2 linked regions of the Neodiprion lecontei genome follow. The protein of the gene in region 2 interacts with the protein of the main gene of each other region in a pairwise test. Links are inferred from orthologs where the notes say so. Each region holds a gene or a part of one and is shown on either strand. Other genes may lie near its edges.

Region 1 (5,167 bases), on a different chromosome or scaffold from region 2:
CGGATCAGTTTATATTTTTGTTTTGTTTTTTTTTTTCGTCAAACTTAAAAATTTGACACCGAAAAACGTCTATGCATTGATATAGATGCGGTGGCACTGAATTTTTTTTTGAATATGACAAATTCACTGCAGGCCTGAAGCATTTTGGATTGTCTCTATGTATCAAAATAAGTTTGAACGGTCGTAAATTTCATGTCCGTGTGAAAGAATTTACAGATTTTCGGAACGTGGGTTTAGGTTGCGTGCACTGAGGCTATGACAATTGCTGACAAGCGTGAGAGGTCAGGATGTGACCTTTGCATACTTTGAGTCCTCGTTCATAAATTCTTCCGTTAAAGTGTGTCTCCTCAACGAATAAAATACGGCGAGAGGGCAGTCTTGAGTATAGAGGAAAAAAAATTATTTCCCTACCCACACTGTTCACGAATTACCGGACCGGATTCATTTTATTCGCGTTTCACACACATCGGTGATTTATAATCAGGTGAGAGGAAAAAAAATTCGGCATTCATCATTCGCTATGTTGAAAACCGAATTTCATGCGCGGTAATGCGATGGATAAGATGTACTTTAATTTTGAAAAATAAATACTCACCAAGCATGCATTGGAATTACAATTCCCGACGTTTCGTATCTCTTGCAAGCTTCCCCAACGCGGTTTTTCGCTCTTGTTGGAATGGGAATGAAGAAGGGAAGTGCATTCCATTGTCGGTTTCAAATCCTCCAAACTGTGCACCAGAGACTTCGAAATACTGTAAACCTTCGGACTCAGCTTGGTGAGGTCTTCGTCGGTAAAATTTCCGAGCATTAGTTTTTCGTTGCTCAAACTGCAGTCCACGTTCTCCCGCCATTCGAGCGCGTCGTTTATTCCAATATTATTGTCCTCCCGAGTTACCTCGGATGAGGCAGCCATCGTACTAGGCAACCCCAAGCTGGGTATAGGCGGAGCAGATGGTCCCAAACAGGTGTTGCTCCCCCTCCTATCCCGGTCTTCATCCCCACACGGACCAGATGCCATCGACATACCGCATCCTTCTCCGACGTTGGGAATTTTACTAAAATTTATTCCACCGCGTTTTCCGTTGGCGTCATACGAGAAATCAGCATCCTTGAATTGGCTACCTTTAACATCATCGATCCATCTAACATCTGGTATTGCTCTGACTGTTAATTTAGACCCTGAGGACTCATTGGCTGGCTTTAGCCTCGGTCGGATGCCGTTTTTTTGATTTGAAACGATCGCGGAATCTCTGAGATGCAAATTTGGCAAATACTGTCTTCGATCGTGAAAATCAGCCGTCATATTTCGATCCGATTGATTTCCATAGTCATCCTTAAAACCTATCCCGGAGTCGCTGTTGCTAGAATGAGCCGTGGAGGTACTGACGTTACTTGGTTGAGGAGAAGCTGCTTGACGATGCCTCGCCTCGTCGTTGTAAGGATTAGATTCGCTGTCGGTGTCTGATATGTAGAGTGTTTGTATGGCACCAATTAGACTGTTGCAACTGTCGGGAAATTCTTGGCAGACATTTAACTCCGACGTTTTTGTGCATGTGAATCCAAATATGTTACAAGTATTGGAATGTACGGCATGGTCTATCAGCTTATAGTATATGGTGAACACATGGCACGAATTTGACACTATATTGTCATTGTCTTTTACCGACTTTGTTAGAATACCAAAATATTGTTTATCCAGTTCAGAAAACGAGTTGCAAAATACTATTCGAAAGGATGGATATTCCGCTATCACTTTATTATCGGAATTTGTCAATTTTATGTTAGCGACATGGATTGTTAGAAGTACCGTTGTGGGATTTCTCTTTTCTGCTTTCAGTCTTTTCACACACTTCTTTAGGACCTGTAAAATAACAATGTAATTAAGATTGTTGGGTCGATACAATCAGTATAATTTTGAATTTCAAGCAGTTTTTGCAATCTTTGTTACAGAAGTGACCACAGACTTGTAAAGTCTACCTCTAATGTTTCATCGTCAATAGCAATTACATTTAAAAGAACAAACAGTTACTACTAAGGTTTAAGATAATGGTGATTCCTTAAAGAAGATTCCGAACATCTTGTCGTGTTTGTTGTTCAAGTATTTACATGTTCAACTGCAATGCATGAGAAAAGTAACAAAGCTACTGCAAGGGTCAAGGTTTTCGTACAGAAGTAAGTTCCAATTCAAATTCTCCAATTAGCGGTAAGCCTACCTGCATCATTGAGGATGGAGGTAATTGATTGGGTATATCGATGGTGCCTAGATAACCAACAATGGTGCGATGTACAATCTTTTCGGTGTCTCGTTTTGAAGATAAAGGCGGAGGTGGCGGTGGTAGAGGGCTGGCCATATTCCATCGATGATGAAGGGATGCGTGGCTGCACTGTATTTTGTTTTGAGACGAGCGATTAAGTGCGTCAAACATGGCCCCACTGTGCAAGTCTCGAACAACTTTGGCTATCGCACATTGTACCGGAGCAGGGGTGACGGTGTTTGTTCTTAGCTTGTGCGAGTATTTTGGTTTGGATCGGACCGTCGCCAGTCCCTCCTCATCGGACGAGTCGGAGTAGTAATTTTCAGCAATTTGTAATCTCAAAAATCCCTTGGAGTTTCCTATCAATCGAACAACCTCGTCGTGAGGAATTTTGCTCACGCTGTGACCATTTACAGCCACAAGATAATCTCCAGATCTGAGACCAGCATTGTCCGCCGAACTTCCCTGGACGATGCAACTCAGTATGCAGGGCTGCTGACCAGATATCGTGAAGCCAAAACCCTTGCTGCCGCGAAGTAATTCGACAACTCTGACGCCGTAATTCACCCGCTTTTTCTTCCTCCTGTTATGGTGCATATTCATTCGTTTATTTTATCGCACCTACACCCGATGCCCTTGCAATATGTTACGACGAGCCGTGGAGGCGTCGAGGAGCGTTTATAACTGCCAAGAATTCTCGTAACATTGTATCAAGCTAAATTTCATATTGTTTAACACACCGCGTATACTTATGTTACAACACACACTTGTCACCGTCAAAGCTGCATTCAGATTCCCCACCCGGGAAGTAACGCGTATTTCCTATCTCCCTCGCAACGTCCAACAGTTCGCTTGACCTTTCTCTTTCTAATGTTAATTTCTATCCTCGGGTGAGGAATATGGAACCACGGCTGAACGCAGCTCCACAAACTTTATAGCATATAGGTATGCCAGTTCAGCGTTCCCATCGCTAGGACTGCAGTTTGTTACACGCTGGAAATCCGGCAGAAGAGAGACGAAGCAAATCAACAATCCAGGGATACGACGAAGACGCAAGAATGTCAGTAGATGAACCACGATAACAGAGATGAGCATCTCTGACGCTGGCTTTTGGACACACTTTAAGTTTATGCGGCGAACTAGGTGTTAGTGTGCTGCCCCCTATGCAAATGCCTTTATAAATTAGAGGCATGATTGGTATATAACGTAAGCACAGCATTCTGCTTTACCGCCGTACGAGGCATTCAGAAGACCGGTTTCGAAATAAGTGACGATGAGTGGTTCATCTTCTACCGCGTTTCCAATAACAACACATTTGAATCTGGATCTACGAACTGGATTAGGCATATAGTTTAGTTGTAGGGAGATTACCGCCGCGTTCGGTGCGTTTAGCTCAACATAAACACTCCAATTCCTGACTTATTCGGAATTTTATGTGGACACACAGTTGCGGAGTAATTATTACCGAGAATACGTCACGACAAGAAGAGTAAATGCACGGAAGTGTGACAGTTCTCATAATAATCTGATAATAATGATGCAGAATGTGAATCAGGGTTATAAGGGAATTCTAAAGGCTTCGATCAAATAGCTAACTGAACCTGACGAACATCGCAATTCTTGGAAAAGGGATATAGTGAAAAAGTTGATACGAGATTAGTGGCTAAGTTTGGTAGTGATTTCGCGCATACTGGATACAACCGTGCAACTGCGAGTACAAGCGAAGTGAGTCGGGACAACATTCTTCGATTCTTTAGGTAAGTCTTGCATCCATATTGCATCCAACTAATCATTTCTCGCTGCTGTAACCGCGAAATAATTTACCCCTTTCATCAGTTGTACGATTGAGGATTTGCTTTAGAAGATGCGCTGAGCGTTGATGAAGATATATTCTGAAGATATATTCCTCAGTGAACGCACTGACCTGGTACTCATCTTTTTTTGCTAGCATTATTCAAACGCGAATCAATGTTTCTCTCCTCCTGTTTCTCTCTCGCACCGCGGGAAAACATCAAACTTCGGTCGTGCATTGCGTGTTATGAAAATATGGGAGTGGCGGAAGAGGGAGGCAGAGCGACTATTTTAAAAACTTGCATTTGTTAGATGTAAAGAAAGGTTAATTTTTGTCGATTTGTGGTTCGCGAAACACTCCTTAGCACAAAATGTATATAAGACGTGGGGTGCCTTATGTAATCTTTTGGACACTGATCGTAGTGTTCTTTTACATAACGTTTAAACAATTTTCTGTGGTTAGAAAATCGAGTCCAGTTTACTTTCGAAAGATCAACAGTAGCCAAATCGATAGAGGAAATTTGTTGAATTTAAATCCCTTTCGATATGTAATAAACACTGACTGCGATACTAGCTTTCTTGTTTGGGTTGTCACTTCGTACGCTGCTGATGTGTCGGCCAGAAGTGCGTTACGCAGGGCTTACTCCGAGTCTGAATTGGAAGAATTGGGAGTTAGAAGAATATTTTTATTAGCATTGTTACACGATGACGTTCAAAATAAAACCCACGTCACCCAAAATGCTATTTTAGATGAAGCACGGCGATACAATGACATTATTCAAGGCAACTTTATTGAGGCATACAAAAATCTTACCTACAAACATGTAATGGGCCTGAAATGGGCTACGCAATATTGTAAAAATGCTTCGTACATCATGAAAATGGATCATGACATTGTAGTGGACCTTTACAAAATTATAGATGTAATAAAAGCAGCCAGTATACCGCATAATATTGTGATGGGTTACGTACTGAGAAATATGAGTCCCATACGCGAACCAATGAACAAATGGTACGTTACTAGGGATGAGTATATTGCGGACTTCTATCCAGACTTTTTATCTGGTTGGTTATATGTAACGACTCTAAAAACTGCCAAAGATTTGGTTGATGTTGCACAG
Region 2 (6,791 bases):
GAAAAAAGCATAGGGCTGCTAGAAAAAAGTTGTTCAATTTCACTTCTCTTTCCAACAACGTTAAATAGTCAATCTAAACCCCATGCAAAATATCGACAAGATGACATTTTAAATATGGTTTATCTGATTTCATGAAAACAGTATCCAGTGTTTTGAAAATTAAAGATGAAGGGATTGCTTGGTAGCCTGTAGTTCAACAATCAGATCGTGCAAATGAAATAGAATGGAATGGAATGTCGTACTTCTCGGACAACGCGAATATACAGCTAGAAAGGTCCAACAGTAATATTGATTATTGTTGTTATTACCGTGAATTATGAAGTACACATATTTTGTTATTGCATGAGAAACAAAAAAAAAACGAACAAACAAACATACACGTAACTGTACACGTAAAAAAATACTTCGAAAACAAATCTATTTTCATAATAGACGAAACTGGAATTCATGAATTAAACCAGATATTATTATTATTGTTATTATTATTAACTAACACACAAATTGGTCCATTTTAGAGATTTTAGGTACTAGATTTGAGATTCCAGTAGATTCTTTCTCTTTCTCTTTTTCTTTTTTTTTTTGCAACATTTTCTTTCATTTTTCTTTCTTCTTCCACTATAATAAATTATATACAGAGACGATTGTTTCAGACTATTTTTTAAACTACAACACGATCGGAACAAAACCAAATTTGCTGGAGCTACTTAAAAGACATACATACATCTAGGGTGTTTAAAAAAAGTTTCATATATCTAGTCTAATATTGGTTTTATCTTCTTGCAATCTGGCTTACGGCGATGAATTTCATCAAACATCATCGAAAAAATCATAGAAACTTGTACGATGAAGCGAAAAAAAGGCACGTTGTCAATTTCCAGTTAAACAATGATAAATTGTTGTTTAAAATCGCTTGTTTTTATATTCAATTTGAGGAAACATAGTTTTCTTTCAATTGAGTAAAACTTTTATACATTTTTTCAATGACGTTTAAATATTTTTATTAAAATTTTCGCGAGAAGTTTCGGGTTTTACGACGCTTTCTCTCTGTCGTGTTATTTTTGGCCGAAATAGAATAATGAAATCTTCCAATTTAAAAGTAGAAACAAAAAATGAAATACTGAATACACAGTCTTTTTAAGCACCCTACGATCTCATCAATTTTTGATTAATAATTCCAGACATTAAAAATTGGTGTTCAGAAACTGACAAAAGACGACCGTGTTATAGTTTGTTATTAAAACGATATATCGAGTATATTATGCGCAATAAAGCTAATTTACTTCTAATATACAAAGTATAAAAAAAAGAAACATTAGAAAAGTGCCATGCTATGATTTTCTATAAACTATAAAGACGAGTTTTGCGCGGAGATTCTGTGCGGTAAAAACGTGCGTTTCGAAAAAAAAAAAAAAAATAGTTTTTTCTATCAAACGTGGATTATGATTTAAATTAGATTCATTTTGATTAAGTATCGCGTACTAGGAATGAAGATTTTAATTAAACACCTAATGTCTAAAAACTAAATGCCTGATGAGATTTGGTGAAAAATTTATATTTTTGATCCGGACAGACAATTCGCACGAGTTTTTAAAGCATTCCAAACTGATGAACGCCCTCGATTTATCAACCATTAATAACCAGTATTAGAGGTGAAAATTATAGACGTGTCGCGGATTCAGAATGTTTTGATTTAATCGGCATCATCGACGGATTCTGAAATTGTTCAGCTTAATAATAAGCCGCAGTTACTCAAGTTGTTCTTAATTATAACATCAGTCACAGCATCAAATACGAATTGAATGTTATTGGTGTCAGTCGCACATGTGAAGTGCGTGTATATTTTTTTACGGTCTTTTCTTTTGTTCAAGTTTTCAAATTTCATTTGAATGTATGATGCGCAATCTTCGTATGTATTCGGCCCTTTATATTCAGGAAAGCATATGGTCAAAGGGCTCCTCGTTATTTTATCCTCAAACAGATCTTTCTTGTTTAAAAACAGAATTATCGACGTATCGACAAACCATTTACTGTTACATATCGAATCGAACAACTTCATTGATTCTATCATCCTGTTCATCTCCTCATCCTCGGCCAAGACTAAATCGTAACCACTCAGTGCAACGCAGAATATTATCGCTGTTACCCCCTCGAAGCAGTGAATCCATTTTTTACGTTCTGATCTTTGTCCACCAACATCAAACATTCTGGAAAGAGAATAAGAAAGTAATTCCCGAGAACTTGGATTGACCATAGATAATTCAATATTGGGCTGTGGCGACATATTCATGGCAGTGCTAGAGACAAAAATTGATATTAATATGATGTTTGAAAGATTGAAGAACTCACTTGAAGTCAATCCCTTTAAACGAAAACTCCGTTTCAACGATTCCTGTCGTTTTGACTCTGGTCCTGAGAACATCCTGTTGTGTCGGTATGTAATGGGGTTGGGCAATGCGATCAAGAGCATTGAGGTAATATGCCGCCGAATCATTGAGCTGATATTCTCTACTACGTGTGAAACAAAGTTGTACTCCTGCGTCCTGCCATAATCTCTTCATTAATAAAACTAGCTCTCCCGTCAGGTCACCCTCCTCTGCTGCCGATGCTAGAGTGAAAAATTGCCTAGCAATATCCTAGAAGGTGACGAATTTATTAATGCATGAATACCATAAATATTAGCAAAAGTTTATTTTTCATCAGATAAAAGATCCCGGGATGCAATTTGAACAATTTTGATCATTTTTAACAGTAGAGTAATTCATTTAACGAAAATTGGAGTGGAAAATAATATTAACTTTCAGTCATTAAAACACGTTTACATGTTGCTTTCGAAAAATTTACGCACCACCTTATTTGGGTCTGCAAAATCAATTCTTAGCTGACCCATGGCTCTGATAATTGTCATCAGACTCTGTATAGTATTGCTATAAACAACCGGTTTATACTCTTCGCATTCTTCTTTACTGTACCCGGTTTCATGAATGATTCTCATCTGTTTAACGATCGTCGATTTTCCGGACTCTCCAGCACCTTGGAATAAAAATGAAATGAATTGTTGTAAAAATTACCTTGAAATAGATCGGGGGGAAAAAAAAATTGTCACATGTTTCTTGTAGCTTAGGAACATTAATTGAAGTTTTGGTCATTGAAAATTTTTTTTTTTTTGTTGCAAACATAATTCGTCAGGTATTTCAACATATTAATCATAATTCTTCTCAGCTCATAATTGAAATAATATGTCACCACCAGCTTTCCATGAGATAAGATAATAGTGAAATTTAATAATTGTGAAATCCATGAGTGTTCCCTTCCCTCAGCTGAATCATCTAGTGACGAGAAGCCATGTGTATACAGGCAGACATCAATCAGCTATTTTACTACAATCAACCATGCTGTGTGGATACATGCATTGCAATATCCTGTGTAGCATTAAGGAGGATAGGATGTTTTTTGCTATCTCATCTCATTGCCATGAGAAATAAGATGAGAGAAATTAGAAAAGTTCTAAACCCATTTGTGTAATGACCAGTGGTGAAAAAACCTCAGTTAGGTCAATTTCTAATAATAATAATAATTTTTGGTAAATTCAATTTGACAATATAGTGTAAGAGAAGGTAATTTAGAAGAACGACGAGTTACGATAAGAAGAAATGGGGTAAACAAAGATGAAAGAATAATTTTTCGCATCGTTTTGACGGCCGGATTCATCGCGGCCTTAATTATACCATTGAATCATACGTTAATTGGCTGTTTTTACCATTTCAATTAAGAGAACATGGTCGCGTTAGTCCCGTTCTCAGTAAACGAGGAGAGATAAAACGCTATCAAACAAACCGAGAAGAAACAAAAAGTAAATGGTAACACGTTAGCAATTTGCACGGGATGTGTAAAAATTAAGCGTGCGAAAACAAGCAGTATTTACGCACAGTTCGTCCGTTTTTGTTTCGTTTCTCTTTTGTTTTTTCATGTCCGCGAATCGCGGAACGACGGAAAAAACGATGAACGGGTCTCGGACGCGATAGCGACGAGCCGCGGAACGAAGAGAAACTTGCATAAAATTTAGTTCAACACATCGTTATTTTGTGTTTAGATGATAATTTACCAAGAAGCAGGAGTTTGACCTCGCTGGCAGCGCGTTCGCCATCCATTCTGAGATCTTTGTCAATTTTCTTAGACCTCTCGGCAGCCTCCTTGTCGCCGGTAGTGCTAACGGCGCATCCCATTTTTCGATTCTTTGCTATATCACGTTCAATAAATCGTTCAAATAGTCCTCGTTTCGAGTGACTGGAACGCCTGGCAGAAGTAAGGTCTGCGTGAAATCGGCCAGGATAAGATCGGCGCCGCAAATCGTATATCGGTCGAATCAAACTCCGGGTGACACTTGTTGCTTCGCCTTGTATTGCGTGTGGGAACCGCCCGCCCCGTGCACCGAGTGCAGCCAACGACAGAAGACGGAGGCCCCAAGTACCGACCGAACTCCTATTACACACGTATATCCGCACATACGACGGCTTGGTCGCAGTCCGGGTTTACCGATTCCCCAATAAACATCTATTACAGCTCACCGTCCACCCCCTCGCCTCTTTTATTCCACAAATTATTGTTCATTATTTAACACGAATACTACACGGGTCTGCTGCTCGACTTTATGTTTAAAACATTTGACGCGCCCACACCAATGACTTATCACGCAACTATGCGCCGACGCGCTCCATTTTAGACTCGACAAGCATTGGATGTGTAAGAAAGATCTAGACGGGTTACCAACTCGACATTTTGTACTCAACGATTCTAGCGCTATTTTAACGCGTGGCGGACATTTATATAATCAGCACCCGTTTTATCATGCCGAGAGAGTGTCGAGCCGTAGAGAGAGAGGGACGTACTAAGACCAGATACTCTCTCTCTCTACTATCTCTCTATAACTGCGTTAGACAAAGAAGGGAACTAGTCTTACCACTACCCTCTCCATGCCGTTTTCCACTTACACGAAAGGGTATACCAGGCTTCCTCCACGTCTATTTGTTTTAAGATCTTTTTTCTTGCCTAAGGTTGCGTTCCGAAATTTATTCCCAGTCTTGTCAACAATCCTTTATCTCTTTTGCACAACCGAGTTCGTGACTAGCTCTGCCTCTGTACTAGAGAGTTTTTAGTGCTACCAATTAGTTTCGCTCCGAAATTGTTTTCAAAAGTTTACCATTCGTTGAAGAACGGTGGCCAGTTGCATTACAATTGTGTATTACCGTTAATTTCGAGTTCTTGTTTATCTATTTAAAAAAGTACAGTCATGCGCGTAGTCGCTTCATGAAAGTGAAGCTACACGGTGGGTAGCCAATTGGAATGCCACGTTCTTTCATCATCGCGTTAATTAAACGTTGAAAAGATACCTCTGTTTAATGAGGAAATTACTCGAGACAAAGAATAAAATTTCTTTATTCAAAGATGAAAAAATGTCAATGAATTGAAACGATTTGATTTACTTTTAAATACATTTAGAAAATTGCATTTTATATTTTTCACGAAATGTCAGTATTACAGTTCACCCATCAGTCCCACGAGCAATCTATCTAGCGGGCTGAAAAACTTACATTCCTGGTGCAAACTGACACCGTATAAAAGTGCATAAAATTCAAATAGCGGTGTCATTAATCATAAAATGATGAGTTATGTCTTGTATTCAATTACAAATATTAAAAAAAAAACTCGCATTCATACTGAAGTTATTTTAAGTTTCAACATTAAAATAGTCCGTAGAATGTTGTATTCCATATTCATAAACCTGCTTTTTGTGGCGGTTAATACGTACAAATTCTCGTGATTGTATCAATATTTAAAACGCAGCACAGAACTTTAATGACGGCAACCTATTACAATAATTTTGCACTCGTTATATTGACAGGATTAAAATCAGCGTCCCGTGTAAGGATGCTCGTTGTTCTGTCGTCAAAATAGCAATTTACCAAATTGGCAAGCGTCTGTAGGTATATCTTGGGTTACAACAGAGCACGTTGTCATTCATTTATGCATAGTTATTCCGTTCGTTGGACCGGATTTTTCTCAAGACACTTTTTTTTTAGTCCCAGTTCCAATCGCTCTGTAGCCTTGCGTCTCCTTATGTTACATGACATTGAAAGAAGCGTCCGATTCTATTATGCAATACATTTATAGTAAACCTGAAATTAGAACTGCTGCATCGGTTGAGTTTTTTTTTTTATCAAAATGAAACAATCGAAAGGAAAACTCAAGTCTCTGCCGTTCGAATGTGTCAATTATTTTACTTCGAGCAGTTTAGTAAAATATCCAGTATGGAAAGCTGGGTAGAAAACTAGGTCGACAGAGATTGACAATGATGGAAATTCTTGAGCGAGTAACCTTGAATTGAATGGAAATGAACAGTATGAATTTGTTCCGGAGATATACAGTCTCTATACACTAAATAAGGATATCGCGAATCGATTGCGTAATTTATTTTAGTCTGCGTAACGAATTTAAATTTCATTTTAACGACATTGTAATCTGTTTTAAATCGTTGATAATGTTGAACACAGCTATTTCAAAAAAAATTTCATCTAGATTGCGATTGATTAGCCACGATAGTGATAAATACATATTGTTCCGAATTGATTATTTAATTCAATGGTCATCATTTTCGCCGCAATAATCGAATGTGTAAAAATGGTAAAAAAACGATGTTTCTTCATTCATTGAATCGTAGCTCTGGCATACATAGACCTAACACGACCCCTCAAGTTCACTTATATCTCAATTCCTCTCAATTGAGGACACCGTTA

Evidence for each region.
Region 1: the proteins of guanine nucleotide-binding protein G(i) subunit alpha (region 2) and regulator of G-protein signaling loco interact in a two-hybrid assay, tested with the Drosophila melanogaster proteins (2 studies listed by BioGRID). The link is inferred for Neodiprion lecontei from reciprocal best matches to the Drosophila melanogaster genes Galphai and loco.

The regions. Positions count from the first base shown.
Region 1 is NC_060265.1:25,279,576-25,284,742, reverse strand, and holds the start of regulator of G-protein signaling loco, read right to left. Parts: upstream 3,201-5,167; 5' UTR 2,859-3,200; coding exon 2,214-2,858; intron 1,862-2,213; coding exon 596-1,861; intron 1-595. Other genes in the region: beta-1,3-galactosyltransferase 5-like, read left to right, coding at 4,418-5,167. UniProt on the Drosophila melanogaster protein: Acts as a regulator of G protein signaling (RGS).
Region 2 is NC_060264.1:31,887,300-31,894,090, forward strand, and holds guanine nucleotide-binding protein G(i) subunit alpha, read right to left. Parts: upstream 4,720-6,791; 5' UTR 4,224-4,719; coding exon 4,103-4,223; intron 3,031-4,102; coding exon 2,846-3,030; intron 2,634-2,845; coding exon 2,347-2,633; intron 2,205-2,346; coding exon 1,724-2,204; 3' UTR 505-1,723; downstream 1-504. UniProt on the Drosophila melanogaster protein: Guanine nucleotide-binding proteins (G proteins) are involved as modulators or transducers in various transmembrane signaling systems.